Lytechinus pictus: one gene and its partner. The protein of the gene in region 1 interacts with the protein of each later gene in a pairwise test. Links are inferred from orthologs where the notes say so. Each region holds a gene or a part of one and is shown in the gene's direction. Other genes may lie near its edges.

What was found.
Region 2: the proteins of actin-related protein 10-like (region 1) and transcription factor BTF3 homolog 4-like interact in a two-hybrid assay, tested with the Drosophila melanogaster proteins (2 studies listed by BioGRID). The link is inferred for Lytechinus pictus from reciprocal best matches to the Drosophila melanogaster genes Arp10 and bic.

Annotation. Positions count from the first base shown.
Region 1 is NC_087251.1:11,806,405-11,824,200, reverse strand, and holds the start of actin-related protein 10-like, read left to right. Parts: upstream 1-11,553; coding exon 11,554-11,630; intron 11,631-17,796. Other genes in the region: ciliated left-right organizer metallopeptidase-like, read right to left, coding at 3,065-3,139, 3,661-3,812, 4,975-5,053, 5,831-5,953, 6,329-6,478, 6,765-6,816, 7,577-7,661, 8,313-8,480 and 1 more.
Region 2 is NC_087255.1:22,428,088-22,444,930, forward strand, and holds the start of transcription factor BTF3 homolog 4-like, read left to right. Parts: upstream 1-9,156; 5' UTR 9,157-9,689; intron 9,690-12,648; 5' UTR 12,649-12,702; coding exon 12,703-12,870; intron 12,871-13,956; coding exon 13,957-14,103; intron 14,104-16,159; coding exon 16,160-16,271; intron 16,272-16,843. Other genes in the region: histone-binding protein N1/N2-like, read right to left, coding at 324-373, 1,605-2,138, 3,950-4,167, 4,845-4,958, 5,382-5,458.

The DNA of each region.
Region 1 (17,796 bases):
TCATGATGAAATTCTCACTTTAAGCACTGCACAGATATGAGTACATGGGACTACAGTCACATGTGGCATCACAAGTAACAGTCCCACCTCTGTGTATAGGTGTAGGTGGTTCTTTGTGACAAGAACTCATTTCAGTATTTAAACTGACTGGATTTCTACTCATTCAATCAATGTATTCACTAAATGAAAGGTATAAAATCAAATTTTAACAAAGAGTGCAAGTATATCATAATACTGTATAGTCAGTTCTACCCTTTTAGCCTGGTGGGGTCACTCAATGTGACTTGGGGACTGCATGACCGTTACCAAAATCGCAGGAAAAGAGGTCAATTTCATGGAACGTCCGCGTACAGAACACTCCTCGAAGTAATGAAAATAGGGGTGCTCACCGTCCTCGATCTGATGGAAATAGGGGTCAGGAAAAAGGGGAGAAACACGGTCACGGGAAGAAAAATCCCCGAACCTGTCGCCGATGCACCAGCCGCAGAGGGTGCGCTCATATCAATGTCAGAGTAGTAAATAAACAAACAGAGTGACGAAACCGGAAGTGTGCTCTGATTGGTCAGATATTTCAAGGAGTCCCAATTAGTTCCCTCTGGCAAATTTTCTGCACTTGTGATCTTCTGCTAGGTGCATACCTCCAGCAATTTTAATAAATTACACGTTTTCTCACATTTCGTGATTAAATACTTCGACACTTTCAACTCATGGACATATTTTCTAGACGCCAATGTGAGTATTTTAACATTTAAAGGTGCCCTTTTGTCAATATATCTTCTGTTATTTTGCATACATTGGCTTCCAAAATAATGTCGAAAAAAGTGTTTGATAAGAGAGAAACTTTGCATTTTTTTAAGTTTTGTGTAATTATGTTTTGCACAAAGTACCTCAACGTGTTGAAAAGAGTGATTTACTATGACTGTCAAGGTTAAATTATCTTTAAACAAGTTGTTCCATGTTATTTTTAAAGGAAATCCATTTAATATCTACTTAAAACAGTGCATAAAATTTAGCATATGGGACTACCCTACACAATACCCTAGCCAAAGATAAGGACCTGCGCCGCTGGAGCTTTCGGCGGCAGAAACCTTAGCCCACCCTATAGGCCATAGGCGGTTAATTGCAGGGATGGCGCCACCAATGGGTGGAGGCAGAATTTTATCTTTAGTCTATATCTACATCTAAGTTACTAGTCTTAATCGTAAAAGTACTAATATATAGATGGAAATATCCCATCAGAGAGGTAAGTGTCCCTGGTTCGGGGAGAAAGACTGGAAAGTCAAACTCTCTTATTTTTAAATTTTTAGTGAGAATTCTTAGTATGACTACGCCTCACATACCTCTAGTCCCATCCCCTACCTTTCGCTGTATGGTGAATGGTCGGGGATAAGGAGTGCATACTAACTGATCATGCTCTGTGGACAACTCTACATTTATTTTTACAAAGAATTCTACTTTTTCTTCATTTTCAAGAAAAATAAAAGTTCTTTTGGATTATTGTATCAGTATGACATGGCTCTTGGTCATCTTTAAGGACTGAGCACTCTGATGCCTGTGTTGCAATCTCCTCTTATGAGGAAAGGGTATAAATGCCCTGTCCTTGAAATATGGTAAATAGGGGTGTTTCAAGGTAACATTTTGTCCTTGTTTTGCGTGAAAATAGGGGGGTAAATTTCACAAAATGTCCTTGAAATTGACCGCAATAGGGGGTTACTTGCATTTGTGGTAACGGTCATACGCGTCCCCCTCTGTGGGTGAGTGACCCCACTGTGCCTTTTAGCATATGATTCCATTTATACAGTCCAAACTCTCTTATCCAGACATGTTGGGACCAGCAGCAATCTTGATAATTAAGAGATTTATCCGGATCTGGAAGACCCAATGTTAAATACATGCAGCTGCCTCCATATGGTAGCTACACGTAATCTATTGTAGTGGGCGTACACAGACAGTATTCACTGCAGTGTCAGTGCAAATTATAGGCATTTTTACGAAAATGAAATCAATTGGTTAATACCCAAACTCTTGGATAATTTACCTGCTGAAATGATCGAGGTATACATCGAGCATACCTCAAAAGAGAATGACTTGATGAAACTAAGTTTTAAAATTGGATCATCGCGGCGAGCATCGCAGCTTCGCAAAGTCAGCCATTGTTATGACTGTAGGCTCAAACATGATAGATGGCGCTGTCCGTATCGAGGCCTAGCGCTAGCTAGTGACACATGTGTTGTTTTTTTCATGAAAAAAAAGAGAACATGATTAAATGGTTGTGCTGTGCCCTGATTTCCTGGAAAATTATCCTTTCTAATTTCTTTTGCTGATTTGGGTAAGATATTTTCATAAAATATAGGGTGTTTGTAGGTAGACCATCTTGGAAAATGTATGTAATGAAAGTGAGTTTGCTTAGGAATTTTGAGTTTAGATTGAAATCTCATTTCCCCAAGGCCACGTACTAGATTGAAAAAAAAAAGAAATCTCTGCAAGTGTGCGTCGGGATAATAGAGAGATCCAGATAAGGGGAGGCTAGATAAGGGGAGGCCGGATAAGAGAGGTCGGGCTGTATCTGATTAATCCTTGGAATCATTTTATTTCAAATACTTATTCTGTAAAATATCATGTTAGATGGAAACACAAGGTTATACTTCCTGGCGATATAATACAGAATAATAAACAAAATTTTGGGCCATTAAATATAAATTCTAGTTGTGGTAATTAAAGCTATGAAAATGAATTTAAACATAATCCAACAAAATGACAACCAAAGTATTTGTATGAACCCAATGATTATGCAAGAAATGAGTTAAGCATGGCTGTGTATCATTTAGAGGGAACCATTTCTAACAAAAATAATACAACATGTTCTAACTTGTGCTGTGTTGCAAATTTTCAGCATATTCTGGATTCACTCTGTATTCCATTATTTCCCAATGTCTGGTTAGCTAAACTAAATGATGTCAGAACTTAAATCATCCATATCTACATCCATATCTTTCAAAGCCTTTCATTTACTGAGTATGGCTTCAAGATATCAATAATGAAGAAATGATATGTGAGTTTATACCTGTAGGATTGCAGGAGCCATGACCGATCCATACATGTATCTTGTTTCCCAGTGAGATGAGAGACCTTCTCCACCCTGCAAATAAGAGAAAAATTAACTGCATCACAACGTACAGGGATACAAATAAAAGTTTCAATGCTCATGAATAAAGTCCAAAATACACTGCATCAGGGTAATTGGATTTTAAATTTGATTGAGGGACGGGGGGGGGGGGGGGGGGGGTGATCAACATTTTAAAAACATGAAAGGTACGTTTTAATTTTATAAATAAGGGTATTGCGTAGTTACATGACCAAAACATCTTTTCTATACTCTTGGTTTTTTTTCTTTTCCTTCATGTGTGTGTTGGTTCCCCTGCAATCACTTGAAAATTTATTGAGGGACAATTGCTTCCTGTGGTTGAATCATGTAATTTCTGTTTTCTTAAAACAGTAGCATCTGCCATAAGAGCCCACTGCATTGCAGCAACATAATAGAAAAGATAGGTTTGGGATGTGTATCTCAGAAGTGTGAAGTCTTTTAGAAAAGACACTCATCAAATATTTCCCAAATTTTCAAAGGAAGAACTCATTGTACATAAGTCATTATTTTCTTACCAAATTTTCAAGAGGAACACCTCTTTCTTCCTCTTCAAAGCATCCAAAATGAGCCTGAGATGCAGCCACAACTGCTGGGGTGTGAAGTCTTGACTGTCCCATAGCATCTACTCTCACTACATCATCCCTGGTCTCACACTGTAGTTCACCTTCTACAGAAAACAAACAACATAATGCAAATGGATATTAACAAAACAAAATATTTCTTCAACTAGTGCTCATCAATAAGTATTCATACACCTCACCTTATAAAGAAAAACTATGTCAGTTATATTTCAAATTATTGTAGGATGCTTATTTTGTCAATTTCTTATGTTTATTTCCTTTAAATTGTGCTTTCTTCAGCTGTTTTACATTTCTGTTCAGTCGAGACTTGAGTTCATTTGCATTTCTTTTCTGCACTGCCCTTGCAGTCTGAACTAAGGTTGAGTTAAATGATATTCAGTTGCCATTCATCCTTCTCCACATTGAATTCCATTCTTCTGATTCTCTTTTGTCATCTTCATTCCTTTTCTATTCAGGTGTTCCACTCATTACATTCCTCACCTGACTCCTTAGTTTCTATTCCCATATAATCACCCAGACATCTTCATCATCTTCATCTCCTCATTGGTTTATCTTATGAATTGAGTTCTTACATTTTAGTTTGATCCTTCCATTCTCTTTCGTTTTGTTGGTTGTTATTTCTAATTTAAATATTTTTGTAAATTATACTATGATTCTGAGTTGAGCTGGGGCAAATTAGCCCACATATTAAATTAGAGCACAACCAGACTTCTTCGGTTTCTGTTCAATTGATTTGCATCCTCTACAGTTTCACTTATTTTCCCTTTGGCTGATTGATTTCTGTTTGCTGCTGTGAACTTATATCATTTCTACCCCTGACTACACTTATAATTTTACACCTTACAACTAGTGGCAGCGGTGGGATGAGAACCCACCCCATCAAAACACAGTACATTATTGTTTTATTTCCACCCCCCCCCCCCCCTCTCTCTTTCATTTCATATCAATCATCTGATAATTGTGTTTATTTATAAGCTAAAAATATTTATCTTTTCTCATTTTTTAATCCTCATAAAAGATCCAGGTGTACATTATGTGATGTACACTTTCAACATCAGTTATGGAAATTCAGTGAAGACCATCAACTCTCCATGCTCTGCCCCACCCCATCCCCTTAAAAATGAATCAATAAGATGACAAGAAAGCAGCAGTTTCAAACAATATGTGGGGATGTGCCTGTATACAATTTTTTTACAGACGGTCTCTAAGTTGCATATAGCTAATTTACTAAGAGTAAATGTAACTTACCAAATACACTGCATTCTTGAAACTGGTCAAAAAGACTTGTAGAAAATCCAAGGACATGAAATACCTCATGCAAGGCAAGCTGAATTGGACAGAAATGCAAGCCCATTTGGAAATTTTATTAATTTGAGGTAATTGAAATTATTAATTAGGGTATAACCCATTTATCCATAATCAAACATACCACATATAACAATACTTCAGCACTTCACAAATGATTTACATTTAACTGAAAGACTATTTATTAAAGAAACTACTAATGCACTTCAAAGGATGCCATGAACACTGTTCATTATACGCTCTAACTTAAAAAAATGGAGAAAATCAGTAGAAAGTCAAAACAGGCATCACTATCATGTGAGATGTTTTACGAAGTCATTTGTTCAAGCAATCAACATTATGTCTGTGACATCACACTTCCATTAAAGTGCCATTTAGATATTTCCTCAAAGCTATACCAGAGGTATATTCTAATGTTGCTATCCAAATTGTTAATTGCCATTACATGAATGTGTTTAAATGGAGTAAATTTGTACAAACTTGTGCAATCTAAGGCTCATCTACATACTACATGTAACTATTAAGTCAACTTTTCAATTGAATTAGAAATAGGGAGCATAGCAAGACCTTTGCAATGAATTGAAATATATTTTAGGCAAAAAAATTAATCTAAAGTCTATCGATTGATTATATGTTGGCTTCTTACAGCACAAATTACATATTGATTAACTATAACGGTAATTAAAACTGATTGATCAATTGTAAATCTGCATTAGATATTAACTTTCATCATTATTTGCAATCCATAACAAACACCTTCTTGCAACACTCCTAATGAAAATCAATTTGTATGACTTACCAGGGTAAACTTATCTTGATCATATTCTCCACTCAGTAGAGGGTTGGGACAAAAATTGATCACTCCAGCAATAGGTCTGAGAAACTGATCCTGCTTGCAGTAGGAGGCATACGCAAACACATCCTATCAATAAAATCAAGGGTAAAAAAAAACATTATCAAAATATTTCTCCACTGTTAAAAAATTAAAAATGAGCCTCATTGATACAATATTCCTTCTTGCTTCCCCCTTTAATCAAGCTGGGAAATTATTTATTGCATTTAATTATGCCATCATACCAATCAGATGAACCTTTTCAGTGAATTACTGAATGCATTGTTTATGCATCTGTTACATTTATTGACATTTGAAAGTCAGTATTGCTTCATTTAAAATTATATCTATTGAAATATCATAATATTCATTTAAGTCTAATAAAGTGAGAGTACATTTATCATGGATATATAGTACGGAAAGTGTCCTAGAAACAGTTCATAAGATGCCTGAACAATGACTCACCCCTGAATCACAACGCTCAGTATGCTCAGCCTTAACATAGATCACGATATCAGAATTAGGAATGCCGGATCCTTCCTCATAATGGGTGACTGAAGGCTCTGGGTTAACAGCATCCCATGTCCACAGACCACCTAGATGATCAGCAGGAATCTGTCAACAAATAAACAATAAACATGTAAATGTCAATAAAACTGAACTGTGGTTCTTAAATACAGTAAAGCAGTATTAATGCAATATTTTGTATTTACTACAGGCCTGGTTAATTGATTAACAATGTTCAAATATTTACAGAAATTTAATCTATGCACTGGATGCATATATGAACAAAATAGAAAATCATTTTCACTTTCAACTTAAGGATCGATCCTAAATTTTATTTGATTGATCATCATATACATGTATGTCAAAGAATTCTTTTGGAGAGCAAAATCCTTACCTCAAAATTATCTAGACACTGCTCTCTATAATTTGGTGAAATTTCTGCACACCTGAAATAATACAAATTTACAATAATATGAGTTGATTATTATAAATAGAATACCATTAAGAAAAGCATCATTACAGGCCTTAAATTTCAACATTTTCAAAGATAAAGCAACTTTTCTAAAATGTATATTTCGATATTACACCACAAAACAAATGTAAAAATTGGAAATGGGCACATAAATATCCCAGGCCTTTGATTAAACTAACATGGGCCTATTACATAAAAAAGAGTTGCTTACTTTGCCATTGAGTTGTAGCTTTCATAGAATCTTTAATTTTGATTGGCTGTTGAGCAGTGTTGCCATGGTAGTTACCATTAATTTGCAAATTTACCATAAAATTAACTATTATGCAACAGCCAACAGGACTCATGTCACAAGCCTCACCCTCCCTTCCACATGCCCCCCCCCCACACACACAAACAAATGGTATCTAACAATTACTTCTCTATGCGGGTTAAAATATAAGCAATCATCACCAATATGACCAAAAGTAAAAATCAAAACTTCAAGTAGTACACTTTCTGCCTTATTACCTTGAGGTAACATTCTAGAAACATATCATTTATATTACTATATATACAAATATAAAATATATGCCTACTGACTGATCCTACAGTACATATTTCTGGAAAAATAAACAGATGTTCACTCAATGGCACATTCATCACGATACATGTAGTTCCTAATGAAACTCCTCTAGATGATGATACTTTGTATTGAGTCAAATGTCATCTACATTTTTTTAGAGCAAGGGACTTACTTTCCATCATTCTGTCCACCATTATATGTAGTTCTACAAGCTGTTTCAGATCTATCAATTACCATTGGGCCTTCAACAGGAAAAACTGGTTAGATACAATGAATAAATACAAATCAAGAATAGAAAACATATCTTTAAGAATTCAGACACAGTATAAGAGTGAACAATTGATATGATTTTATTTGTGCCTTATCAATAATTTTGTCACCTGAAAGTTCAAATTCATATGCACTGCAGAAGTGTACGAATTCTATTTTCAGAGGTTATATTATATCAAGTGTAGTTTTAACTTCTTCATCAATATTTTTTTAAATGTCATCCCTATTTGTTACATAAAGTTTAACTTTAAAAAATGCTGAATAAAAATCACCATAAATAGCAACCACTTAGAAATGTGTATGCATAGTACTGATTAAGCAAAATCAAAATAAGCCAAAGTATCTGCCCAAAATAAGAACTTATCAAATATTAAGAAAAAGCAGAATTATGTTGGCTCACGAGGGGAGTTTCAATACACTACTGATTCATAAATTAGTAAATTTCTTGGTTATGTTCATTCCTGGATTCCTTTACCCTAGAAAAGTAAATGCACTTCAATTCTTCAAATCCAGTTGGTACACATTTCTTGTTTCTACAGCTCACGAGCATCTGACAATCTTTGAGGTTGTCAAGAACCAACTTTTTTTAAACAATATGCATAAATTTGAATGGTGGCATTGTTTCTCTATCCCCATACCTGACAGCAGTTTTTGAATAACAGATGTTGCACCAGCCATGATGGTCTCAAGCTTCTCGACCTGCACTGAGTCTTTAAGATGTTCCACATTCTGAACAAAAGTCTTCACTCTGATAGGCTGGTAGATATCTCCTTCCAATGACCTTTTTGATTTTGCACTTACACCAACTGTTTAGAAAATTTACAGAAGGTAAGGACAGGTAAAGACTAAAGAAGTTACTTTTAACATTGGTTTATATTCTGAGGTTAATTTTTCTATTACTCAAGTTATTTGGGTTAAGTGTGTGGAGTCACTGAACTTAAAAAAAACCCTAATAATTAATTTCTGATAATTGATATAGGCCTAACTGGGAGTTGTGGCATGCGCCTGTAATCCAAGCTGTGTGGAAGTTACAAATTGATGCAGAGGTTTGAGCCCTGGTCACGTCTTTCGGAGGGTGACGTTAAAGGTCGGTCCCAGACGTAAATAATCTGATTGATACACGTCTGACAAAACTCAAATACACACACACACACACACTAAAATGTATGTTTGTACATGTACAGGTACAAAACAACAAAAAACACACACTATGGATAGTCCTCATAGACTCTCAACAGATCATGTCCAACATTAATTTTGAATGATTCACAGAACATTATAATTAACTTTCAACCAGAATAAAACCATGAAAGTGTTTGACCTAGCACAATAACTTTTCACTTTGTCACACCTCTACTAACAGTAGAGGCACACGGCCAATATTGGAGACTGTCTCCAATGTGGGAGATTATCTCCAATATCAGAGACTTTTGTAAAGAATTTGGGTATCCAATTTCAGAGACAGTCTCCAGTTTTGGAGTCCAATTTCCTTTGTTTACATTTGCTGCAAAAGGATTACCTTGGCGGCAAATAAAAATGTGATTTGCAGGCTTCTTTGATTCAGACCCTCAGTGTTTCCTAGAATGTGTTCTCTTTCTTCCCCCTGTGCACCACAGTAATGACACCAAAACCCAGCTCCACACACTTATTTTATATTTCATTCGCAACCTTCACACAACCTGCCGAAAACTCCTCAGCAACTTCACCAGCTCTAACAACTCTTAGGAAGTGTCTACATTTTTCAACTGTTACCAGCGATCTCCGACCTTAACGGAGGAAGGATACAAGAGAGAGATAAGCAGATTCCTCATGAAAAATTACCCCTTTTCACCGTCTACTTTAAATATTCACCGTCAACTTTTGAATTGATAAGGATTTTTGTTGTCAATCACACACAAAACAAATGGGCTTCTGACCTCAGTGAGACAAAATTTTAGGTGGAAAAAATCATGCTTTTGTTGGTGTTGTTTCTTTTGTCCTTTTGCAAAGCAAGTCTCCAATGTGGGAGATTGTCTCCCCTATTGGAGAGAGTCTCCCATATTGGCCGTGCGCCTCTACTGACTAAGAACACTTACATGTAGTACCTACACAATTTATATTTGCATCATTTGGCATGAAAAATAAAGAAGTACAAATGTCCTCCTTTACCTGAAAAAATGAAAAATTCTTCCTCATGATTTCACAAGATATTTATAAATAAAAAAGCATAGATAATTGTGCCTGCACTCTCTAGCATTGTCCAATAATTATTATTTATGAAAAATTGCTTTTAACCAAATCTTAAACTTTTTCTGACATCCAGAATGAAAATACTATGTTCACTTGTTCAGATATTAATAAGTAACTGGGTCTGGGTAGAGATAGACCTAGATCTAGACCTTGATCTGGAAGATTCTAGATAGGCCTATATAATTTTTGACCAAAAATCAATTCTAAAGACTAAACTGCATTGTGCAGTTGTGAGTAGTGAGGCCATTACATCAATTGTTTTTTTCACCAATTTGAGTCAGATTCTTTAATGAATATACATGTAAAGTAACTATGTCTATTGGACAATAGACTAGTGCAGATGTCAAGTTTGTGGTCATTTGAATTCTTTTACAACAGGGCACTGCGCTATACTCACCAGGAACCCGATAGTTTAGAAGAGTTGTCTCAATGTTTTGATGCTTTTGAACTTCATCAAATATACAACGGCTTGAATTTGGAGCAGATGATGGAGATGCAGCAAGAATTTTCATGCATATTTGTAGAAAAACTAAACTTAAAGTTATCAATATCAGAGAGAGTCTAGTTAATTTTGTACTTGAGTTCTTGCAAGTCTTAATCTTTTTCAATTTCATATCCATTGTCCCTGTGCACTGTGTTTCCTAGCTGACTATCCTGTCTTGAATTCAGCGTCACCCCAAATTTCAGCCTTCTCACTCAGTCTCAGTCAGTGACAATGTAGGATAATCGACTGGCTTGACATGACAAGGATATCTTCTTCTTGTCTATTACCACTGAACTTTACCATCGGATCGCGACTGTCGGGTTGCAGGCATAGATACGTCGGAGGTCGAGTCCATGTCCGCGTCCACCGAAAGCGCACCGATATTTATGGTAACGGTCTCTCGATGAACTCGGGTCGGGAATCTCCGGCGGTAAGCTGCACTTGGTCTTGGTATCGCTTCACTCTCTCTGGTACATTTTCGGAGGTAAGTAGGATGGGGGGCCGGGGTCGGGTGTCCGGACACTTTATATTTTTGAAGCCTTCTTTTTTGTCTTTGGATTACACTAAAAATATGAATTCAATACTTATTAATCATCTTCTCTTTTGTTCTTTATAATATTTCCTAACATTTTGTACTAAAAATTGATGAAACTTCGCTTGTAATTTTTTCCAAATGACTTTCTAAGTCTAAAAATGACTTTCTATGTCTAAAATTGATCGTCCGGACACACAACCTGTCCGGACACACAACAACTGGGTATACGGTATGTAGTCTTAATAGCAAACCGAGATTGCTGAGTGAAATTTGGAATCAATAATCGTACAGTTTTTATTGAAATACTACATACCTAAATTTATATTGATAAATATCTTACTATAAACATAACATTATTTTTCGAAACAATTTTGGAAGTAAAACCATTAAAATATTTTTCTTTTTATTCATATCGATCAGATATGGCTTTAAAAAAAGACTATTTAATACCATGCGCGATTACGTTTTGTACAACAGCTTGTGTTGAAGCTAGGACGTTGAAGGATCATGCGTACGTGTCGATCGGTACGTGACTTTACACTCGTACGTCGTACTCGTACTCGTGTGTGATTAAAAATCTCACGTATTTTACCTCGGACTGCTGCACTGTCGGGAAACTTTCATTGAAAAAATGCCACTTTTTGAGGGTCTCAGCGTTGGGGTAGAGAAGACAGCTGCTATCTTTGACATAGGTGCTGCATATACAAAGTGAGATTTTGATATATTTTGTATTCTGATGTTAAGAAACTTGAATATATGTGTTTTGGGAGTGGGACTGCATTGACTCTGTCTCAGTCAGACTCAGACTGACGATTGACGGTGATCGGAACAACCGCCGCGCCGGGCTATGCCGCGACGGACGGCTCGCGTCGATGCCTCATCGACGCGGTCGACTCTAGCTCTCGCCGATAAATGGGCGTGTCTATTGCCTTGGGAATAAACTGAGTTAAGCCTAGATCTAGTTCTAAGCTTGTAACCGATTCCATTCGATTTCACCACAATCGGCAATCACTTGCCGATCTTCGATCATGCCCCTTGGCTTGAAGGAAAAAATCGAAAATAAAAAATCGGCGTAGATCTGGTTACAGTGCGTGATCGCTCAGAACATATTTCAAGATTGTTTTTGAGGTGCTAGCTATTTACAGGTCGCATTATTCAGGGAGAAAGTCGCGGTATTATCTATGGCAATGTTTAAGGGGATAGATATCTTCTCTTCCAACTCATGGTGATAGCGGATGCCGCCGTGAACTTTGAAAGGTCGTATTACCGACGGAGCTCACTGCGTTACTCTCTTACATCGTTTATGATTATATACATTTTATTTTCAACCTCGTGGTGATAGCGGATGCCGCCGTGAACTTTGAAAGGTCGTATTACCGACGGAGCTCACTGCGCTACTCTCTTACCCCCTTTATAATGATATAAATCTTCTCTTCAACCTCGTGGTGATAGCGGACACCGCCATTAACTTTTAAAGACTGTACTATTGACGGAGCTTATTGCGTTGCTCTCTTACATCGTTTATGATGATATTCATTTTATTTTCAACCTCGTGGTGATAGCGGAAGCCGCCGTGAACTTTGAAAGGTCGTATTACCGACGGAGCTCACTACGCTACTCTCTTACATCGTTTATAATGATATAAATCTTCTCTTCAACCTCGTGGTGATAGCGGACCCCGCCAGAAACTTTTAAAGACTGTACTATTGACGGAGCTTATTGCGTTACTCTCTTACATCATTTATGATGATATTCATTTTATTTTCAACCTCGTGGTGATAGCGGAAGCCGCCGTGAACTTTGTAAGGTCGTATTACCGACGGAGCTCACTGCGCTACTCTCTTACATCGTTTATAATGATATAAATCTTCTCTTCAACCTCGTGGTGATAGCGGACCCCGCCAGAAACTTTTAAAGACTGTACTATTGACGGAGCTTATTGCGTTACTCTCTTACATCGTTTATGATGATATACATTTTATTTTCAACCTCGTGGTGATAGCGGATGCCGCCGTGAACTTTGAAAGGTCGTACTATTGACGGAGCTCATTGCGTTACTCTCTTACATCGTTTATGATGATTTACATTTTATTTTCAACCTCGTGGTGATAGCGGACCCCGCCGTGAACTTTTAAAGATCGTACTATTGACGGAGCTTATTGCGTTGCTCTCTTACATCGTTTATGATGATATTCATTTTATTTTCAACCTCGTGGTGATAGCGGAAGCCGCCGTGAACTTTGAAAGGTCGTATTACCGACGGAGCTCACTGCGCTACTCTCTTACATCGTTTATAATGATATAAATCTTCTCTTCAACCTCGTGGTGATAGCGGACCCCGCCAGAAACTTTTAAAGACTGTACTATTGACGGAGCTTATTGCGTTACTCTCTTACATCATTTATGATGATATTCATTTTATTTTCAACCTCGTGGTGATAGCGGATGCCGCCGTGAACTTTGAAAGGTCGTATTACCGACGGAGCTCACTGCGCTACTCTCTTACATCGTTTATAATGATATAAATCTTCTCTTCAACCTCGTGGTGATAGCGGACCCCGCCAGAAACTTTTAAAGACTGTACTATTGACGGAGCTTATTGCGTTACTCTCTTACATCGTTTATGATGATATACATTTTATTTTCAACCTCGTGGTGATAGCGGATGCCGCCGTGAACTTTGAAAGGTCGTACTATTGACGGAGCTCATTGCGTTACTCTCTTACATCGTTTATGATGATTTACATTTTATTTTCAACCTCGTGGTGATAGCGGACCCCGCCGTGAACTTTTAAAGATCGTGCTACTGACGGAGCTTATTGCGTTACTCTCTTACATCGTTTATGATGATATACATTTTATTTTCAACCTCGTGGTGATAGCGGATGCCGCCGTGAACTTTGAAAGGTCGTACTATTGACGGAGCTCATTGCGTTACTCTCTTACATCGTTTATGATGATTTACATTTTATTTTCAACCTCGTGGTGATAGCGGACCCCGCCGTGAACTTTGAAAGGTCGTACTATTGACGGAGCTCATTGCGTTACTCTCTTACATCGTTTATGATGATTTACATTTTATTTTCAACCTCGTGGTGATAGCGGACCCCGCCGTGAACTTTTAAAGATCGTGCTACTGACGGAGCTTATTGCGTTACTCTCTTACATCGTTTATGATGATATTCATTTTATTTTCAACCTCGTGGTGATAGCGGAAGCCGCCGTGAACTTTGAAAGGTCGTATTACCGACGGAGCTCACTGCGCTACTCTCTTACATCGTTTATAATGATATAAATCTTCTCTTCAACCTCGTGGTGATAGCGGACCCCGCCAGAAACTTTTAAAGACTGTACTATTGACGGAGCTTATTGCGTTACTCTCTTACATCGTTTATGATGATATACATTTTATTTTCAACCTCGTGGTGATAGCGGATGCCGCCGTGAACTTTGAAAGGTCGTACTATTGACGGAGCTCATTGCGTTACTCTCTTACATCGTTTATGATGATTTACATTTTATTTTCAACCTCGTGGTGATAGCGGACCCCGCCGTGAACGTTTAAAGATCGTGCTACTGACGGAGCTTATTGCGTTACTCTCTTACATCGTTTATGATGATATACATTTTATTTTCAACCTCGTGGTGATAGCGGATGCCGCCGTGAACTTTGAAAGGTCGTATTACCGACGGAGCTCATTTCGTTACTCTCTTACATCGTTTATGATGATTTACATTTTATTTTCAACCTCGTGGTGATAGCGGACCCCGCCGTGAACTTTGAAAGGTCGTACTATTGACGGAGCTCATTGCGTTACTCTCTTACATCGTTTATGATGATTTACATTTTATTTTCAACCTCGTGGTGATGGCGGACCCCGCCGTGAACTTTTAAAGATCGTGCTACTGACGGAGCTTATTGCGTTACTCTCTTACAACGTTTATGATGATATTCATTTTATTTTCAACCTCGTGGTGATAGCGGACCCCGCCGTGAACTTTGAAAGGTCGTACTATTGACGGAGCTCATTGCGTTACTCTCTTACATCGTTTATGATGATTTACATTTTATTTTCAACCTCGTGGTGATAGCGGACCCCGCCGTGAACTTTTAAAGATCGTGCTACTGACGGAGCTTATTGCGTTACTCTTACATCGTTTATGATGATATTCATTTTATTTTCAACCTCGTGGTGATAGCGGAAGCCGCCGTGAACTTTGAAAGGTCGTATTACCGACGGAGCTCACTGCGCTACTCTCTTACCCCCTTTATGATGATAGACATCTTCTCTTCAACCTCGTGGTGATAGCGGACCCCGCCGTGAACTTCAAATTGATTTGAAAACGCTAGCTACCCAAAACATTTTAATAACATATTTCAAATCATCGTGCGTGCTTGCGTCGTCTACTTCATTTTAATTGCACTTGCGACTTTAAGATGATGCGTCGTAAGAGATCATTCCAATAATTCTAAATCGCTAGCACCTAAAAATACTTCTAAAAGATGTCCCGCCGATCGTTCATTAACCTGTGATCTATGAGAAATATTTTCATTTTATTTTCCTTTGCGCCTTTGCTCGGAAGATGCGTCTTTCGTTTATCTTTCTAATAAAAATCACTCGGTTTATTTTAAAGCAATAACACCTCAAAACCCCTGGCTTTAAAACATGTTCCAAACGATCGCGCATGTTGGCGACTTCCATTCCAATGCATTCGTCTTTGTGACTTTGTCAGGAAGATGCGCGCGACCGCGAACAACATTTTGATGTATTCCTTTGTTTTTAAACATCGCCGATTCGATTTTCGATTCGATTTCGATTTTAGAAGCTTAACTGCCGATCCGATTTTCGATCTGATTTTTGATCCGATTTACAACATTATCTAGTTCTATGTCAAATGAAGTTGGAGACAGTGTTCTCCTTCTTCTTCTGGAAACAGTATTACCAGTAGAGGCGCACGGCCAATATTGGAGACTGTCTCCAATGTGGGAGATTATCTCCAATATCAGAGACTTTTGTAAAGAATTTGGGTATCCAATTTCAGAGACAGTCTCCAGTTTTGGATACCAATTTCCTTTGTTTACATTTGCTGCAAAAGGATTACCTTGGCGGCAAATAAAAATGTGATTAGCAGATTCCTCATGAAAAATTACCCCTTTTCACCGTCTACTTTAAAAATTCACCATCTACTTTTGTTTTGATAAGGATTTTTGTTGTCAATCACACACAAAACAAATGGGCTTCTGACCTCAGTGAGACAAAATTTTGGGTGGAAAAAATCATGCTTTTGTTGGTGTTGTTTCTTTTGTCCTTTTGCAAAGCAAGTCTCCAATGTGGGAGATTGTCTCCCCTATTGGAGAGAGTCTCCCATATTGGCCGTGCGCCTCTACTGATTACAGTCCACCGTCTGCACGTCTGGTGACTGGTGTATACTATTATTACCGGTACTATTGTCGTATGGTGAGACTACCAGTAGGTATGTGACAAAAAAAATGAAAATCATCAAATATGAATAAATTTGGTATCACTTGAAAGCTCTTAAAAAGACCTTTAAAATGATACCAAGAACTTTAATTTTCATCAAGAAATTATAATGTTATTCCAGTTTAAGTCGCACATATTCATCCAAATTTGTGGTCATTGTCTTAATGTAAAGTCAATGGAGTACAGCACCGATTTTTGTGACCATTTTGTGACCATTTTGAACCCAAGTCTTCAACAGGCTCTAACTTCTTTGTTTTTTAGCCCTATGAAGTAATTTAGGTATCAATGAAAAGGTGAGAGAAGGCTCAATTGATGTGCATCAATTCATCTTGTAATCTTTCTTATTCTGTTTAAAATAATTTCTTCTAATTAATTCTAATTAATTATGCAAACAGAAAATCACAATTACTCGCCTCTTTATTTTGCCAAATGAAGGTGATTATGATAGATAATTAATATAATTTAGTTGGCATCAAAACATCATCATGTAGATAATTTCCTAATAAATTTGTCTAAAGTATTGTTTTTGTAATTTCTAATGTATTTCATTGTTTTTCTGATATAAATTACAAGCTCTTTTTCAACTTAGTATTGTAATTTTGTATGTACGGGGGTCCTTTTTTACATATAAAAAATTTCTTTTGTACTTTGTATGACCAAATAAAAATATGTGTGTTTTTTTCTGATGTATTTGATTGTTTCACCAATTCCTTATGTATTCTATTGTTTCAACAATTTGTTATAATATGTAGCTTTTGATTTGAGAGACAATGGACATGTGATTACATTTTTTTAGAAGGAATGAGCAGCTGAGTGTAAAATATGTATGTAGAATTGTATGCAATTTATTTCAAGTATCAAGAAGGACGAAAATGAAGTTTTAATATATTCTATCAGTTGTCAATTTCTTAGATTTGTATACATACATTGTATTACAAAGGCCCTGTTTGAGCTCTCTTTTTAAAGAAAAATAAATTCAAATTATTAGTCGAAGCCAAAAGAAAAGGAAAAGAGTGGTCTATTTCTTTTAAAACAAAACAAAAAACAACCAGTAAAAATATATAACAAAGCTTTAAACAACAACAAAACAGACATCAAAGCTCCAAACAAGCACTAAAAACAAGAGAAACAAAAGTGACACAAAAACTTGTACCAATCCCATCCCCATTTTCCAATTCAAAACACAACCCCCACCTGCACCCCTAAAAAAAGAAAAGTGAATAAAAAAATAAATAGTACAATTAATAATAAAGAAAACATAAATACAGGAGTTAGACCCATCTGGAAATGAAATATCCTTTCCTCTGAGTTTTCATGTATTTTCTCATAAGAGTGAAAAAATTACAACAACAAAAAATAAACAACATCTAGTTCGTGCATTTTAATAAAAA
Region 2 (16,843 bases), on another chromosome or scaffold:
ATTTAGGCCTGTATTCTGAATTATGGGGAGCCAAAAATTTGAAAATTGTATATTTCATATGTTTACTATTTTGTTTCCTTTTGCTTTTATAATGAAAAAATAATAATTCAAAATTCTTCAGTTATCATTTCCAGACAATTATGAACAATTTGAGATGTCAAATGAGTTAATAAATTGGATCTGTACTGTTAGGGATTTGTGCCCTGATTGGCTCTCCATAGTTAAACCACAACTTTAAACCAAGGTTTAATTTATACTCAAGTTCATAATACTAGCCTAAGAATTTCATTTCTGAGGAATTACCAGTATATATCCTGACTCACCTGTTCACCATCTGCAGAGGGTCCAGCAGCTTCCTCATCTTCGTCATCATCTGTAGCATGAAAAATAGTAGTTTGTGTCCTGTTACTAAATACGTACGACTACAATAGCTTCTTAATTCCATTACAAGAAGTGTATGGAACATGGGGCTATGAGAAATTGTGAAAGGTTCCACTAAATGTCAAAATTCAATTAATTTTTTTTTCAAGTTTAGGTATCCATTTTTCTTGATAAAACATAAAATAAACATGACAAGTATGCCTGCGAATTGAAGATTTAAGAGTAAGCATTTAAAATAAACAGATACATGTATAGGTGTAAAAAAAAGTTGGTAATAGACATTTTTCTGAAATCAACATTCGTAAAAATCAATCATCTTTAAAAATTCATTTTACACACAAAATGTAACATATTCATACTCAAGACATTGAGATAAAACACATTTTTACTACTTTAAAATTACCGTAGTTATTATTCTTTTTCAAATAATATAACATAATGTATGAAAACTAAGCAGAAAGATGAAATGAACATGACACAAGCTTCACAAATATCACAGGTTCACAAATGCACTATTTGATAAGAAAGATTATTAATATCAAAGTAATGGATATTGTAATTTCTTTCATTTTAAGTACTACCATAGGTACAGTGACACTGGAAATTACAAAGCATTCAATGGCTTGGAGATACAAACCATTGTTAACCCTGAAATATATTGCGAATGGGGAGGAGGGCAGGTTGTAGGTGAGTGATGACCCCAAAATTAGATGGCATTAATGATCTTTCTTTTTTTTAATCGATCGAGTTTCGGATTTTCATAGAAGTCTGATGAAATGGGTTAGTTTGCAGTGAAAACCAGACAAAGAAATTTGGCTTTAAATAAAGACATTCCTATTATTCTTCAAAGAAAGTGACACAAGATGGCCAAAGCACTGAAAACAAAAAGCAAAGCTATTTCATGCAGAAAAGGGGATGCTTAAATGCACATCCAACAAAATAATCATTAAAATTTACCTTTGAACAAAAACAATAAACACCACCATGAGAGATTCAAAATTCTGATTTCTGTTAATCAGGCTAGACAAAAATTGTATGTATACTAAAATAATTCAATATTTCACAAGCATGCAAATAAAACTAATTCACAAGTTCACAGGTTACATAATTCAAATCCAAACAAAGCAGATTTCAAGATTTAGAATGCATTTATTTTGATGTTAGAGGTGAATTACATAACTTGACACAGACACTTATTTAAACTCATGAAAATACTTTGATACCTTTAGTTTTACTTTTGGCTTCATCTTCTTTCTTCTCTGCCATTGAAGTATCATCCTTATCTACTTTTTCAGCATCTTTCTTTTCAGTCTCCATCTTGTCAGATTTTTCTTTATCCTTCTTTTCTTTATTTTGCTTTAATTCTTTTTTCTTTGCATCTTGATCTTCAACTTCCATTTCTACATCTTTCTTGTCATCCTTCTTTTCTCCAACTACCTTCTCTTGATCTTTCTTCTCTTCTTCTTTCTTCTCGTCTTTCTCCTTCTTTGCAGCTTCTTTCTTTTCATCCTTCTTTTCTTCTTTTTCATCCTTTTCTTCAACTACCTTCTCTTGATCTTTCTTCTCCCCTTCCTCTTCTTTCTTTTTGTCTTTCTCCTTTGTAGCTTCTTCTTTCTTGTTATCCCCACCCTCTTCCATCTTTTCATCTTCTTCCCCCTCCCCTTCCTTTTCCTTATCTTCCTTCTCCGATTCTTCACTTTCAATATTAGCCTCCAGGGCATCTTTAACTTGCTGTATCACTTCTTCTCGTTCTTTGGCTGAAGGAGAGATAATTTAAGTGTTTGGACAATGGAAAAGTTATTTTGGAATTGTGCTTAATGATCATACCTTCTAAAATACAATTGCCCTAGAAATTTTGGATTTAGCAGAGAAGATTAGAAGTCTATTGTTTCGGTGCTTAGCTTCAGCATAAAACTTATAGGCCTAAGTACTCAAATTGACAAATGCATTTCTGATTTGAGTTTGTTTCCGTTTCTCAATAGGGGAAAGATGACTGGTTCATTACTATTTTTATCAATTATCATATTGACATAAATACCCTTGCATTAATACTGTACTGAAACTGAAAGTAGAAAATTCCCCAAAAGCCACTACCTGTACAGATAGAGTCATGAGGCAATATCAAATTCCGAGATAAAAGATATCTTAAGATGATTAATAACATCGGAAGACAGATGGCAATATACAATAACTCCATTAATGTAGCTAACAGTTATTATTTCTATTAGATAGAAACAAATTTCTGGCTTGCGATCAGTAAATGAGATATACACGATCTATAAAAAAAATGTACTGGATGCATGGTAGAAATTTGAATCTTCAACATCAAACTTCTCCAGCAAGCCTTACATGTACATTCCATTCAAAGAAATCTTAGCATAACACTCCCAAAGATGTGAAATCAGACAAATTAGTGTTAGATTCTAGAATTGCATGCTTATACCTCGGTCACATTTCCCCTACGGCGGCCTTACAGCGAGTCGAAAACAGCAGTTTTATTCATTTTTATTCAAACTATCTATATGTAGCTGGTACAAAAAAAAGGATAAACGGCTGTTTTCAACTTGCCGTACGGCCGCCGTAGAGCAAATGTGACTGAGGTATTAACCACCTAAAAGTGAAACTGCACTCATCAATTCACAAGCCCAGGAGAAAGCAAGAATGTTAACAAAAGCTTGAATGACTTCAAGCAAAGAAAAGATCAAGGTCATGAACTACAGATCTCATCATTCAAAGAAACCAAGAAAATCTTGTATTCAAGCAAAAGAATGTTTGAATGTAGATGTACACTAGACTAGACTATCAAAATTCACAAAGATCCTTTGTAATTGTACCTTGTAACGAGGCATTTCTATGAAGCTGTTTCTATGAATGAACTATTTAGAATCCAGTTTGCATAAATTTACTAGTCACGATACTTGACAAATTCTTTGGATGTAGAGAACAATTGTCCAAGTATGCAAAAATGTTGTTAGTTTGAACCTATTGTTCAGTAGAGTATTTTCTAGTCTAAATGGAAGCAACTGATTGTTTAAATAAAGAAGCAGATGGCTCATAGTTTCAAGAAGCTTTAGCTTGAATTCACAAGTCAATGACACACCCAATAAGCGCTTTAGATTACTGTAATTTAAATTCTTTTAGATTCCTTTTAAATAGACAAAGCAAATGGCATCCTATTCAAATTGGATGATCCAAGACAGTGTAGAATTCAATCATCCCCAGTGAATGACCATTGATAAACTGACCATCTAAATACCAGGGAATGTAATCTATCACCTCCAGCTAATTCTACACTTATCCAAATCTATCTAATCTTGGGTGAATTCTACACATTGCTCTTTTCCTTTCAGTTGCATTTATCCATTACTTTATTTCAAAAGAGTGGGTTGATTTTATCTAACATTTTATCTATTTAAATTGTAAAGATTGAATTAATCGGGGCTTCTTTTAAAAATATTTTTAATGCTCCATATATGTACATGCAAGATAGCAAATGAGCTGTCCTTTATTTCCAATGAAAAATAAACTTGAGCCATCCTCTATAAAGATATACCAATAACCATTTTACCTTCTAGCTGGTCTGCACTTTCTACCCTACTTCCAGTGCAACTTTGCTTTCCTTCTCCTTCTTCGTCGGAATCTGCCGAGTCGGCTGAATCATCTGGGACCCCCTGCAGAGCGTTGCCAAGTACACCATTCTCCATGCTCGCTAGTTCAAGAAGGGAGCATCCATATTGATAGTACGCATCCCCACACTCCTCCGCAGTCTCGCCATATTTAGATGACCTGCAATTTAAATGTGCAAGATATATACACGATTGAATTAATGGATTCTGAAATCTTCATTTTCCATAGATTCGATGACGGACCACCCAGTTTCAGTACACAATGGGATATAAATGTAGTTACATTTATCTACTAAAAAGAATAACACTTTCACTCTGTAATGTTAGAATTAATGTAATCAAATTGATTTAGTATAAAATAATAAGGGTAGGTCTGCAAGAAATGGAGTAAAGACTAAAATCATTAGATTAATTGAATACTAGGATTCTATCACAGACCTCTAAAATAACACAACTCTTGAATTTCAAAGGAATATTTTCCTTCATATTTTGATTTGTGTGCATTCTGCAACCTTTGAATTCAGTAATCAAAGTATTTTCTCAATCCAAGGGAATTGTTCTTTTTAAGTAGACCAGCTATAAGGCTTGGAATAATGTACATGACCAATCAATAAAAATTACTTGTTTCCTAAAAAAAAATCATTAAATGTAGATCTATAGATGTAAAACTGAAAGAAGGTGACAATTTTGGACAGACAAAAAAGGTCAGTTTGTCTCATGTTAATATGCTTAATAGATAATGATGATCTTTCAGATAAAATAAGAAATAAACCATGTTTTTTTAATTGATTTTTTTTTTTTGGGGGGGGGGATCTACTGAAATAAGATAAATCGTACAGCAGTTCACAAGCTTCTTGGAAACACTGGACAGCAGCTGGAGGGTCACCAACCACAAGATTCCTCTTCCCCTGGCCCATCAATTCTAAGGCTTCAGCATCAACGTCTTCAGGGCTGAAATGAGAAAAATAATGTAATAGGTCACTCATCATACAGAATTCAATTGACAAATGAAATCTGAATATCAAATATCACTCCAAGCATCAATCCAAACAAACGACAAGAAACCAAAGTCCAATTTGGCTACTTCATCATTTTGTCACTCACATGTATTGCGAGGTTAGTATATGTTCAATAATTTATTAGACCCTACTGATTTGTCATAATTAGTCATTCTATTTGACCTTTAGAATTTAATTTTTAAATAAAATTATAGACATGATAAAAGTTTCTTGACTACGAGGCCAAACTTGACCTGTTGATGATTTATAAATGCAAGAGACAGCTAAAAATCTTTAAGTCATCTTTAATAAAATTACTCCAACTTTTAAGCATGCCATTGCCAATTTTGAAAAGTAAAAATGCTGCTCAGCTCACCCGGCATCTTCTTGTTCCACCTCTTCGATTTCAGCAGCAGAACTTGATCCAGGTTTGTCTTCTTCCGTCCCAAGCATTTTTGTGTAGTCTAGACTTTGTGTGTGACTGCTCAAGAAAAAATGTTCCCCACTGAACCGTCTTTAACCAGGCTTAGCGTTTCCTAATTGGGATAGAGTGATCTGGTGATTTGAACAAGTTTTCTCAGTTGACTCGACTCTGAACTTTAATTGAAGACTCGAGTTGGAGTTTGTCAAGATGACCACCTGCCGACGATACTGTCATACATTCGAAGAAGCAGAAAGATGTCCCCAGCTTACAGTTACCCCTTCTGTTTTCTTCAGAATCAGGCTTTGACTTTGTCTTTGACAATGACAGGTCTAACTTTACTCTTACTAGCTCACTCACTGTCCAAAGCAAAAGGCTAATTACATGAATTAATAAGCATAAGCTGCATGCAGCTCTCTCTGATACTGAGCGAGTGTATGTGAGTCAGTGACAGAGGCCTAGAAGTGTGTATATGTTTGACTGTCACTACACTGCCAAACTCCTGCCGTGCCTGAGAAAGGATCCGTGAACAGTTAAGTTAGGAGTCGGGCGCTCGAGCCTAGCCTCCGCCTACGCCACGGCGTAGTTTCTTGCCGACAAAACGTCACAAAGACCAAGTCAACAACAAAATTAAACGTTAATATTTCGACTTCAATGCAATGAAGTCAAAATAATATTCCCTCCCAGTCGCAAGACCAAGATATCACACATGTGAATATCAGATTCAGGAGGGAGTCTGTCCTGGATCTACAATGAATGACGAATTGTCTTCGATAGAACAAACTCGATCTCCTGAAAATTTCAATGAATGTTTTGCACGTTTTATGTACGGGCTCGAATCGTCTACAGGAATAACAAAGGAGTCGCCCCCAGATAACTCTGTTGAACGAAATTCGTACCTACCGGTACGTGTAAGTAAGATTTTGCTTGTGATCAAAATAATCGCAGGATCGGGACGTTTACGCCCCTTTACGCCCATATACCCTTTAAGTTAGTGGGGAGATCGATGCCCGGACGCGACGATACGTAGATTTGAATGAAAAGCAGAAAAGAAGAAGGGAAAAAATGGGTGAAAGACTTTCACAGAAGATTCGATGAAAATCCGTCGAAGAATGAGACTCCAGTGGCCCGAAATCTATATAGCATGTCATGTATAAATTCCATTAAAAAAAATTTGAATAAAAAAGATAATCAAGTTGGATGATTCATTAGTGGCCTAGCTTTCGTTTTAACATCATGTAAATAATGTTATTGGAAGACCCAGATGAAACTATACCACGGATTGACCTAAGCATAATGAACTCAAAACAATTAACCTTATAAAGGAAATGTGATGGCTTTGGCATCGGACAGCAGATGTACTCCCAGTAAAAAAAAAGTTAAATTAAACATTGTATGCCTATATTATTCATGACTGAGCATCTATTTTACCTGTAGGCCTACTTGTCAGTATATACTCAAGTACTTTCCTGTGTTCAATGATGATATATACAAATAGGCCTATAGGATAGCCCTACGACGCCTTTAGGGCCAACATACCTATACATAAAAAAAAATAATGAATTAAAAGGGGGGCAGTGGCGGACCGTGACCCGGAGGAGACAAAGCATTGGAGGGGCACAGCATTGTTCACAAACAAGTGCCCCTCCAATCATTGTCTCCTCCGCGGGTCACGGTCCGCCACTTGGTAGGCCTATGGGCCGCGATCCTTCGGTATCCCTTTCAAATATCATGAGGAAATTCAGTGTAGTTGGGGCCTTATTTAAATGGTTTCTCGTCTGTGACACCACAAATTAAAATAATTCTTTATGGATTTTCACCACTCTTCTTTTCTCTCTCTTTCTTTACTTTGACTTTTATTTAAACTATTCCGGGAATCTATTCAGAACTATACAGAATCAGAGATTTTAAATCTTGGCCTTTTGAAACTTGCTCAAAGTCTATAGATTTGAGGGGCCGCACGTTAGCCTCATGATCTTTATATAGACCTTTTTTATTCTAAGCCGTCTGTTTGACCTTCGAACCAACTATTTGACATGCATTGCCTGGCCCAGGCTATATGCCCGGGGGGGCCACTTCCATTGACAAGTGGATACCATGCGCGACCACGGGGTCTCGAAAAGCACCCTAAACACGTATTTTCCATGTTCTGAAAATGCACCCCTTAACAAGTATATTGGCGTCTGAAACCCTACCCTTAACAAGCATTGGAAACAAAACTATACTCTTGGCAAGTATTCCCTGAAATGAACCCCTAAACAAGTATACAGCGATATTTTATTGTTGTGTCACGGGTCCGGCGGTCGTCGGTTTTATCTAATTTACACACCATTTGGTTTAGTATGGCCCCACCTTCCTCACCTCGCGCAAATCGGGACTCTAAACACGTAGTGTTGGGGCAAAAAGGACATCCTTTATACAACATTTTAATTTTGTTTGATCATCCCCGCAAATGTGACCCTAAACACGATAGCTTTCCTAGCGAAATAGATACCCTTTTTTCATTATTTTTGTGTTTTTGACACCCTAATCACGTTACGTACGTAACGTGCCCTATCTTGAAAAAGACATCCTTTTTACGTGTTTTCTTGGTCGCGCATGGTATCCACTCGTCAATGTAAGTGGCCCCCCCCGGGCTATATGGGAAGTAAATATCTTCTGAAGGGGATTTGTCCGGGGGATTGGTTTTATTATAAAATCAGAAAAATATTGGTGAAGGGGATGAAGGGTGAACATTATCAAAGAATACGCGGACGGAGTTGTGATTTTTGAATTTTTTTATCTTTGATACATACTTTAAATTCGCCCACTTAAAAGTCATTTAAAAAAGAAGGGATTTTATTCATAGTGGTAAATGTATCATCACAACATTTTTTCCTTTCTATGAGAAAAATATTTGTATTCATCTCAAGTTCCATTGAAACTTGATGCTCGCACATTATGACGTCACACATTAAAGTTCGAAGTACACCCTGAAGAAACTAGCTATATAGGTTGTTGTAAAATAGCCGGCAGAACAAACAATAAAAAATATTGGTGAAGGTTCCAGGAAACTAATTCATTTATTATTCAGTTATATAGTTTTGGATTTGTCGAGCAGATGCCCCGTATATAAAATGAATAGATTTCAATTTTTTGATGGTTCGTGCATTTTTTAGGAACGGATGTGAAATGATTTGTCTATTGATATACCAAGCCGTAGAAAACCGTGTTTTTTTTTATTTTCGATTTTCTGAGACAATGACATTTCATTGATATGCTTTCACCCAATATGAAATCTGCTCGCAAGCCTCGCATTATTGCGTCACAAGAAATCAAATCTAAAATTCCAATAACCTTTTTTATTCTTTGATATTTTTCTCAAACCTTCGGCAATATTTATTTATTGTTTTTCTGCTATTTGTAGAATATAAAATTTTTGTCAAAGTGAACTTCCCCTCAAATATAGCCCGTCACTCTAACAAGACTCTATTCTCAGGTGCTGCCTCAGGTCTTTGCCGAACTTACATGGGGACATTTTCAGTATTACTTTTTTTTTAAAGAAGAAATGCCAAATAAACTGTAGAAGAACAGAAAATTCGAAGAAAGCTTTCATATCTGGAACAAACGGTTTTTTTAAAGCGTTTTAAGGCTCGATTCTGCAATTACCGATCGGGCGAATCACGTAATAGGCGATTTTTTTTTTACGATAAGGATCTTTGAATCAGCTGCAGGAAAGATTTCGCGCGTTACTTTGTATTGGTGGCGCGCCAGCTGTTCCATTGATTGTACTTACAGTTTTAAGGTCACAGATGAATACCATATTTTTCGAAAAGCAGCTGGACTGCTATATGCTACATACTATCTAAGTAATTTCAATAATAATCATATCGCAAAGCAATATATTTTTAAAGAAAATAGATTTTGAATTGGCTTTATATTTCGTATATATATCATCTTCTACAAGATCTACTTCCGGGATGGAATATCTCAGATTCTGATTACAACATGAATATTCATTGCATTAATATTCATGTAGGCTTTTTCAAAAAGTTTATTTGTATGAACAATTTTTATTACATTTGCAATTAAAAATACAAAAATATTGTTTGATATATTAATTAAAATTGTAAATAATTTTTTAATGATTTAAAACCCTTTGCCATAAATAATAATGAATGATTGACGAAACTGTAAAACTCAATTGAAGAAATAGTTAAAGTCTGATGACGTCACATTCTTCCATTTTATATTGGTGTATGCAGCCTCGTGGTCTATATACCGGTGAGTTATAATCTTATTTGAATGACTTATTATCAATATTTGTAGGTACTTTTATGATGAAATTTAAACTTATTCTGTATATGCTTTTAAAGCTCAATCTATACCCTGCCAAGATTTTAATTTGTCATTTGTAGAAAGTAGAAACTTTTCGGTTTGTAATTGTAATATGCCAATGCAATGTGACTTGGGCGAGTTTGCATTTATGATCTTGAAGTTTTACAGAACAGCGCAGTTGCAGGGCTTGTGAGCGCATCGTCGCATAATGACCCTGCCGATCACCCCGGCCCAGAGCAGGCAGTGTTTGATGTATGCACGTCATGTAGTGCACAGGTATGCAGCGCATATCGCCATGGAATGGCATGACTCGGGAGCGTGGGCCCACTCTAGACAGTCATGTAGATCTATCTCGTACTAAGAAAGGGAAAAAAAAAATTTTTGAGGGCTCCATTTTAAATTTTTTGTCAAATTTCGGGGGCTCTTATTTAAATTGAATGCTACTTTCTTGTTTTCTATTGTTCTTCGCCAACGTTACCCGACGCACGCGTCTGGGATAAAACTTCATTTCCGACATTTCTACGACTACGCTCTCGTTATTTTTAAACCAGAATTCATCAAAAAAGTGAAAAAATATTGTGAAAAGATGGAAGAGACTTGCCCGATGTTTACGCCGCCATCTTGTTTCTTATTGTACTTCCCCAACGTTACGCGACGCTCGCGTCCGTTTCAGGTTTTCAGTAGAGTCGCACGGCCAATATGGGAGACGATCTCCCACATTGGACTTGGAGACTTGCTTTGCAAAAGGACAAAAGAAACAACACCAACAAAAGCATGATTTTTTCTACCCAAAATTTTGTCTCACTGAGGTCAGAAGCCCATTTGTTTTGTGTGTGATTGACAACAAAAATCCTTATCAAAAACAAAAGTAGACAGTGAAAAGGGGTAATTTTTCATGAGGAATCTGCTTACCACATTTTTATTTGCCGCCAAGGTAATCCTTTTGCAGCAAATGTAAACAAAGGAAATTGGACTCTAAAACTGGAGACTGTCTCTAAATTGGATACCAAAATTCTTTACAAAAGTCTCTGATATTGGAGATAATCTCCCACATTGGAGATAGTCTCCAATATTGGCAGTGCGCCTCTACTGGTTTTGGGGTCCTTCGTGTAGGTGAATAGGAAGGACTCCCTGGCTTCATTGAGAGTAAGCCTACGGCTACGTTAGTAAATGATTTTTACTCTCAAGAAGCCGCCTGGCTACACATACCCTAACTTTTCGTGAAGTTCTTTGAAAACGCAGATCTCCATGAAAATTGCATTTCTCTATGGGGGAGTCTAAATTTGGTGAGAATGTATTCATTAAGAACTTAAATATACATGACAATGAAGAAATCATTAAACTTTATTGGCAGTTTTGAATAATATACCTGAAATGTAAACTCTGTCTGAAACAGAAAATCACCATCATTGAGGCCTTTACTGAGCAAATTGTCCCCCAGAGCTAGAGAGACAGAGCTCAGACTGGCTAGCTAGTACAAGGGTCAATGCGTGCGTGCGTGAGCCTGCCGCTGGCCTTGTAAAATAGATGGAGCTTTGTTTGATGATTTATTGTCTGATATTTACCTCATCCCCTAGAAAAAGAAAACATGATTTTTTAGTTATAATTAATAAATAAGGTAACTTATTTTGGATGTTAAAGGAGAATGAAACTCTTGGAGCAAGTTAGCTTTTGTGAAAGCAGAAAAATCAAAGAATAAGATCAACAAAAGTTTGAGTAAAATAGGACTAACAATAGAAGAGTTATGAGCATTTGAATGTCAAGATCACTAATGCTATGGAGATCCTCCCATTGGCAACGCAACCAAGATCTATGATATCACAGATGAACAACTCTCCCCTTTTGGACACTGAAAATATACCCCAAAACATCTCTTTTTGCTCATTCTAATCATATGAAAAACGATTCATCAATGATATAATGTTGTGAAACCTCTGTACTTGTCCTCTCATAAAGAGAACACCTCACCTTGTGATAGATTCTATAAAAGTGAGAATATAAGTGAAATAAGTACTAAAGCAATGAGGGAGTTGTACGTGTGTGACATCACAGATCTTGGTCGCATTGCCAATGGGAGGATCTACATGGCATTAGTGATCTCAATATTCAAATGCTCATAACTTTCTTATTACTCATTCAATCTTCCTCAAACTTTCAACAAAATGTTTCTTTGATTTTTCTCTTTGATATGGATTCAGCTGTTTTCAAGGGTTTCATTCTCCTTTAATAGGCTGTTTTGAAAAGCAAAGCCGAATGACAACTCACCAATGCGAGGTTACTAGACCAGGGATTTATTTTCTGTGTAATTCGAATTGTGATATCTGTAGGGGAAACATGTGCATTCGAAATTGCACATGGTGGTAGTCATAATGGACCAGGGATACATGCAACTGTTTCCCGACCGTTGATTTTTTTTTTCCATACCTGGTACCATGTGTATGGAAATAGGTGGTACAGAATAAAAAAGATGCAACTTTGGAATTTGAAACTGCGCTTGCTATTTTCAAGGCTTATTCATGATTTTGAGTGTGGATTTTGGATTTTTAAATGGTAAGCGGAGCTCGAGCATATGGCACTAGTGGGCCGTTGAGTTGTTATCACTCGGCAATAATTTCGGTGGCGACATTCAGATTTTATGTCGCCCCCGAAAGCATGATTTTGGGTGATTTCGAGGGCGACCTAAGGCATTTCCGCGCAGCTCAGCGATCGCGAGGCGCGTTACCTAAAATGGATTAAGGCTCGCGATCGCTCTCGCGTGCCTTAAAATCGAGTCCCTGAATATCGCTGTTATACTAGTGTGAGTTTTTAGCACATGACCAAGGTCATTAGGGTCAATGAACATTGACTACAAGCATACGCACATTACTGAAATCACGTTTTTTACTTTCCATACTCTGCATATTAGATACAAGGAGTTGGCAAATTTAGGAGCTTCAGTTCTTCACCACATTTAGTCAAGATGAATGCTGATAAGTTGTCAAAGATCCAAAAGGAAGTCAGAATAGGTGGCAAAGGCACCGCCAGGAGAAAAAGGAAAGTCATCCACAAATCCACAACCACAGACGACAAGAAATTACAAGGATCATTAAAGAAATTAGCTGTAAATAATATTCCTGGTATTGAAGAGGTAAGTATATGTTCATTTAATTTCAAGTAATATTCTTCCCCTTTGACCAAAAAGGAAAGTTTTAGGCCTACATGAAAAATTATTTTTGTTTTTCTTTATTTCAGCACACAGGAGTGTGAAAAGCCGCTATTAAAGAATTTTGAAAATTACCCTATGAAGGGTAATGTTTAAAAAGACTTTGCCAAAAAAAAATTTGAAAACATTACACCGTGAGGGAGCTAGCCTATTCACAAGATAAAATTGCAAATTCTCATTAAAGGTCAAGTCCACCTCAGAAAAATGTTGATTTGAATCAATAGAGAAAAATCAGACAAGCACAATGCTAAAAATTTCATCAAAATCGGATGTAAAATAAGAAAGTTATGACATTTCAAAGTTTCGCTTATTTTTAACAAAATAGTTATATGAACGAGCCAGTTACATCTAAATGAGAGAGTCGATGATGTCACTCACTCACTATTTCTTTTGTTTTTTATTGTTTGAATGATACAATATTTCAATTTTTACGAATTTGACGATTAGGACCTCCTTGCCTGAAGCACAAAATGTTAAAATAATGGAATTCCACGTGTTCAGTGAGGAATGAAACTTCATTTCACATGACAATGACGAGAAAATCAAAATATTTCATATTTCATATAATAGAATACAAAAGAAATAGTGAGTGAGTGATGTCATCAGCTCCCTCATTTGCATACCGACCAAGATGTGCATATAACTGTTTTGTGAAATGAAGCGAAAATTTAAAATGTCATAACTTTCTTATTTTACATCCGATTTTGATGAAATTTTCAGTGTTATGCTTGTTGAATTTTTCTCTTTTTATTCAAATCAATTGTTTGTTGGGGTGGACTTGTCCTTTAAGAAAAGACATTTGGGAGAAAAAAAATCACTACACATATAATTCACATCATTTAACCTTGACGGAAGCTCCAGACGACTACTTAAGTGGAGCTCTGGAGGTTTGAGTGAAAGCCTCCGTGATACCATTTGGAAAGATAGTTGATGGATAATAAAGCACACCTTAAACTGGCCACAATGTTCTATTATTCCTCCAGATGCTCTTTTTCAAATCTTCCCCAACAGGTTAATATGATCAAAGATGACGGAACTGTGATTCATTTCAACAACCCTAAAGTACAGGCATCATTAGCAGCCAACACGTTTGCAATCAGTGGGCATGCAGAGAACAAGCAGCTTACAGATATGCTTCCTAGTATCATGAACCAATTGGTAAGTCCAATCTCTTCCAGTCAGCATGCACCTCAAATCAATTTCATTATCAGTAGCAACTTGCAAGTTATTGTTATAAGCTACTGAAATTATGAAATTTTTGATTGGTGACCGTCAGCACCATAAATCAATTATCAATGTCGAAGCCCAATCTCTTCCATGGTCCTCGAATTAAATTTTATCAATAGCAACTTACAAGTCATTGTTATTAGCTGCTGGAATTATGAAATCTGATAATTCCAATCTCTTTGAATTCAATATGGATGTCAAATCACATTATTAGTGGCAATTTACCCACTTTTGAAATTCTGAAATTTGATTGGTCACCGTCAGTATCCCAAATCAATTGGCAAGTCAAACCTCTTCTTGTCGATATGGTTCCTGTATCTCAAAGCTTGCTATCGATGATAACTTGGAAGTCCTTGTTATGAACTACTGAAATTTGATTGGTCATGTAGTATCATGAATCAGTTGGTAAGCCCAACTTGTCAGCGTCACCCCTGTTTCACAAACCTTTCTATCAATGACACAACCCGTGTTATGAAATTCTGAAATTTCGTTGGTCACTGTCACTATGATCATGAAATTAATTGGTAAGTGCAACTTGTCAACGTTGTTCCTATTTCACGAATCTTGCTATCACTGGTAACTTACAAGTCATTGTAATGAGCTACCAAAATTCTGAAATGTGATTGGTCAGTATCATGAATCAATTGGTAAGCCCAATTGATTAAGTCAACATAGGGTCACACGACATTTGCTCCTGCAACATTTGCCCTGGTCTTGATATCTTAGAGGACATAGGGGTACAGTTAGGAATGTAATATAGTTTTTGGTTTGGAATAATATAAAGAAAAGGATTAGGGTTTATTTAGTTTTTGTCTCACCTGCATAGCAGAGTGAGACTATAGGCGCCGCTTTTCCGACGGCGGCGGCGACGGCGGCGTCAACACCAAATCTTAACCTGAGGTTAAGTTTTTGAAATGACAGCATAACTTAGAAAGTATATGGACCTAGTTCATGAAACTTGGCCATAAGGTTAATCAAGTATTACTGAACATCCTGCCTGAGTTTCATGTCACATGACTAAGGTCAAAGGTCATTTAGGGTCAATGAACTTAGACCATGTTGGGGGAATCAACATCAAAATCTTAACCTAAGGTTAAGTTTTTGAAATGTCATCATAACTTAGAAAATATATGGACCTAGTTCATGAAACTTATACATAAGGTTAATCAAGTATCACTGAACATCCTGCATGAGTTTCACGTCACATGACTAAGGTCAAAGGTCATTTAGGGTCAATGAACTTTGGCCGAATTGGGGGTATCTGTTGAATTACCATCATAACTTTGAAAGTTTATGGATCTGATTCATGAAACTTGGACATAATAGTAATCAAGTATTACTGAACATCCTGTGCAAGTTTCAGGTCACATGATCAAGGTCAAAGGTCATTTAGGGTCAATGAACTTTGGCCAAATTGGGGTATTTGTTGAATTACAGCCATAAATTTGAAAGTGTGTTGGTCTAGTTCATAAAACTTGGACATAATAGTAATCAAGTATCACTGAACATCCTGTGCGAGTTTCAGGTCACATGATCAAGGTCAAAGGTCATGTAAGGTCAAAGAACTTTGGCCACGTTGGGGGTATTTTTTTAATTGCCATCATATCTCTATAAGTGTATTGGTCTAGTTCATAAAACGTGGAAATAAGAGTAACCAAGTATCACTGAACATCTTGTGCGAGTTATAGTAGTTTTCAAAATCAGCACTGCTGCTATATTGAATCGCGTGATGCAGGTGAGACGGCCAGAGGCATTCCACTTGTTGAGGTTTGGTTTTATGTTTGGCTTGACATGCAGATTTTCCATCGGGGCAATTGTCGCCGGAGCAAATGTCATGAACCCAACACAGACCCTGTTTCAAAAAGTAGGTTATCCATGGTAACTTACAAGTCACTACTACTGATATTCTCAAATTTGAAGTAGATTTACAGTAATCTCTAATATTTCAATACCGCTGTGACTGATTCTAATTTTTCCACCTCTGCAGGGCATGGATAGTTCAAGTTTTGGAAAGCCTGGTGATGGTATCCCTATTGAAGAGACAGGTGGCAAGGCAGATAAACCTGATACTATTGATGAAGAAGAAGAGGATGTACCAGGTAAACATACAAAAAGCAAATAGGCATGAGTGCGATGGTTCAAGATTTCGCGTAAGGTGAACGAAAGATGCTCTATTCAACGAGGTGTAACCAAGTTGAATTAAGTGTCTATTCTTTCACCGTATGCGAAATGTCGCACCATTGCACGAATAAGAATATTCGCTATTCGCATTGTACAAAGCCTAGGAAGTTAGGGAAAATAGGAACAATAAATTTTCCAATGTAAATCTATGAAAATAAGAAGGGGTTATTGAAAGTAAAAAGCAAAATCTGGCATCTGATCTGCAGCAGCAATGCGCATTTAGCCAGTAAAACGTAATGTATTGTACCTGCATTTATTAAGTACAATGCATTGAATCCCAAATTTTATAGTACTGTCACCTTGTTCTTGACCATACAACGGTACATTATGGACGGTACGTGTGCAACGGTACAAGTGTTGGACAGTCAACCACCCATTTGCTCACGTAAAACGAACTAATTTGGTGTTGTACAGTATCTCTGTCTTTTATACATATAACACACTACACACTCTGGCCTGTGTAGCAGACATTTTGAATATTTGCAAGTCT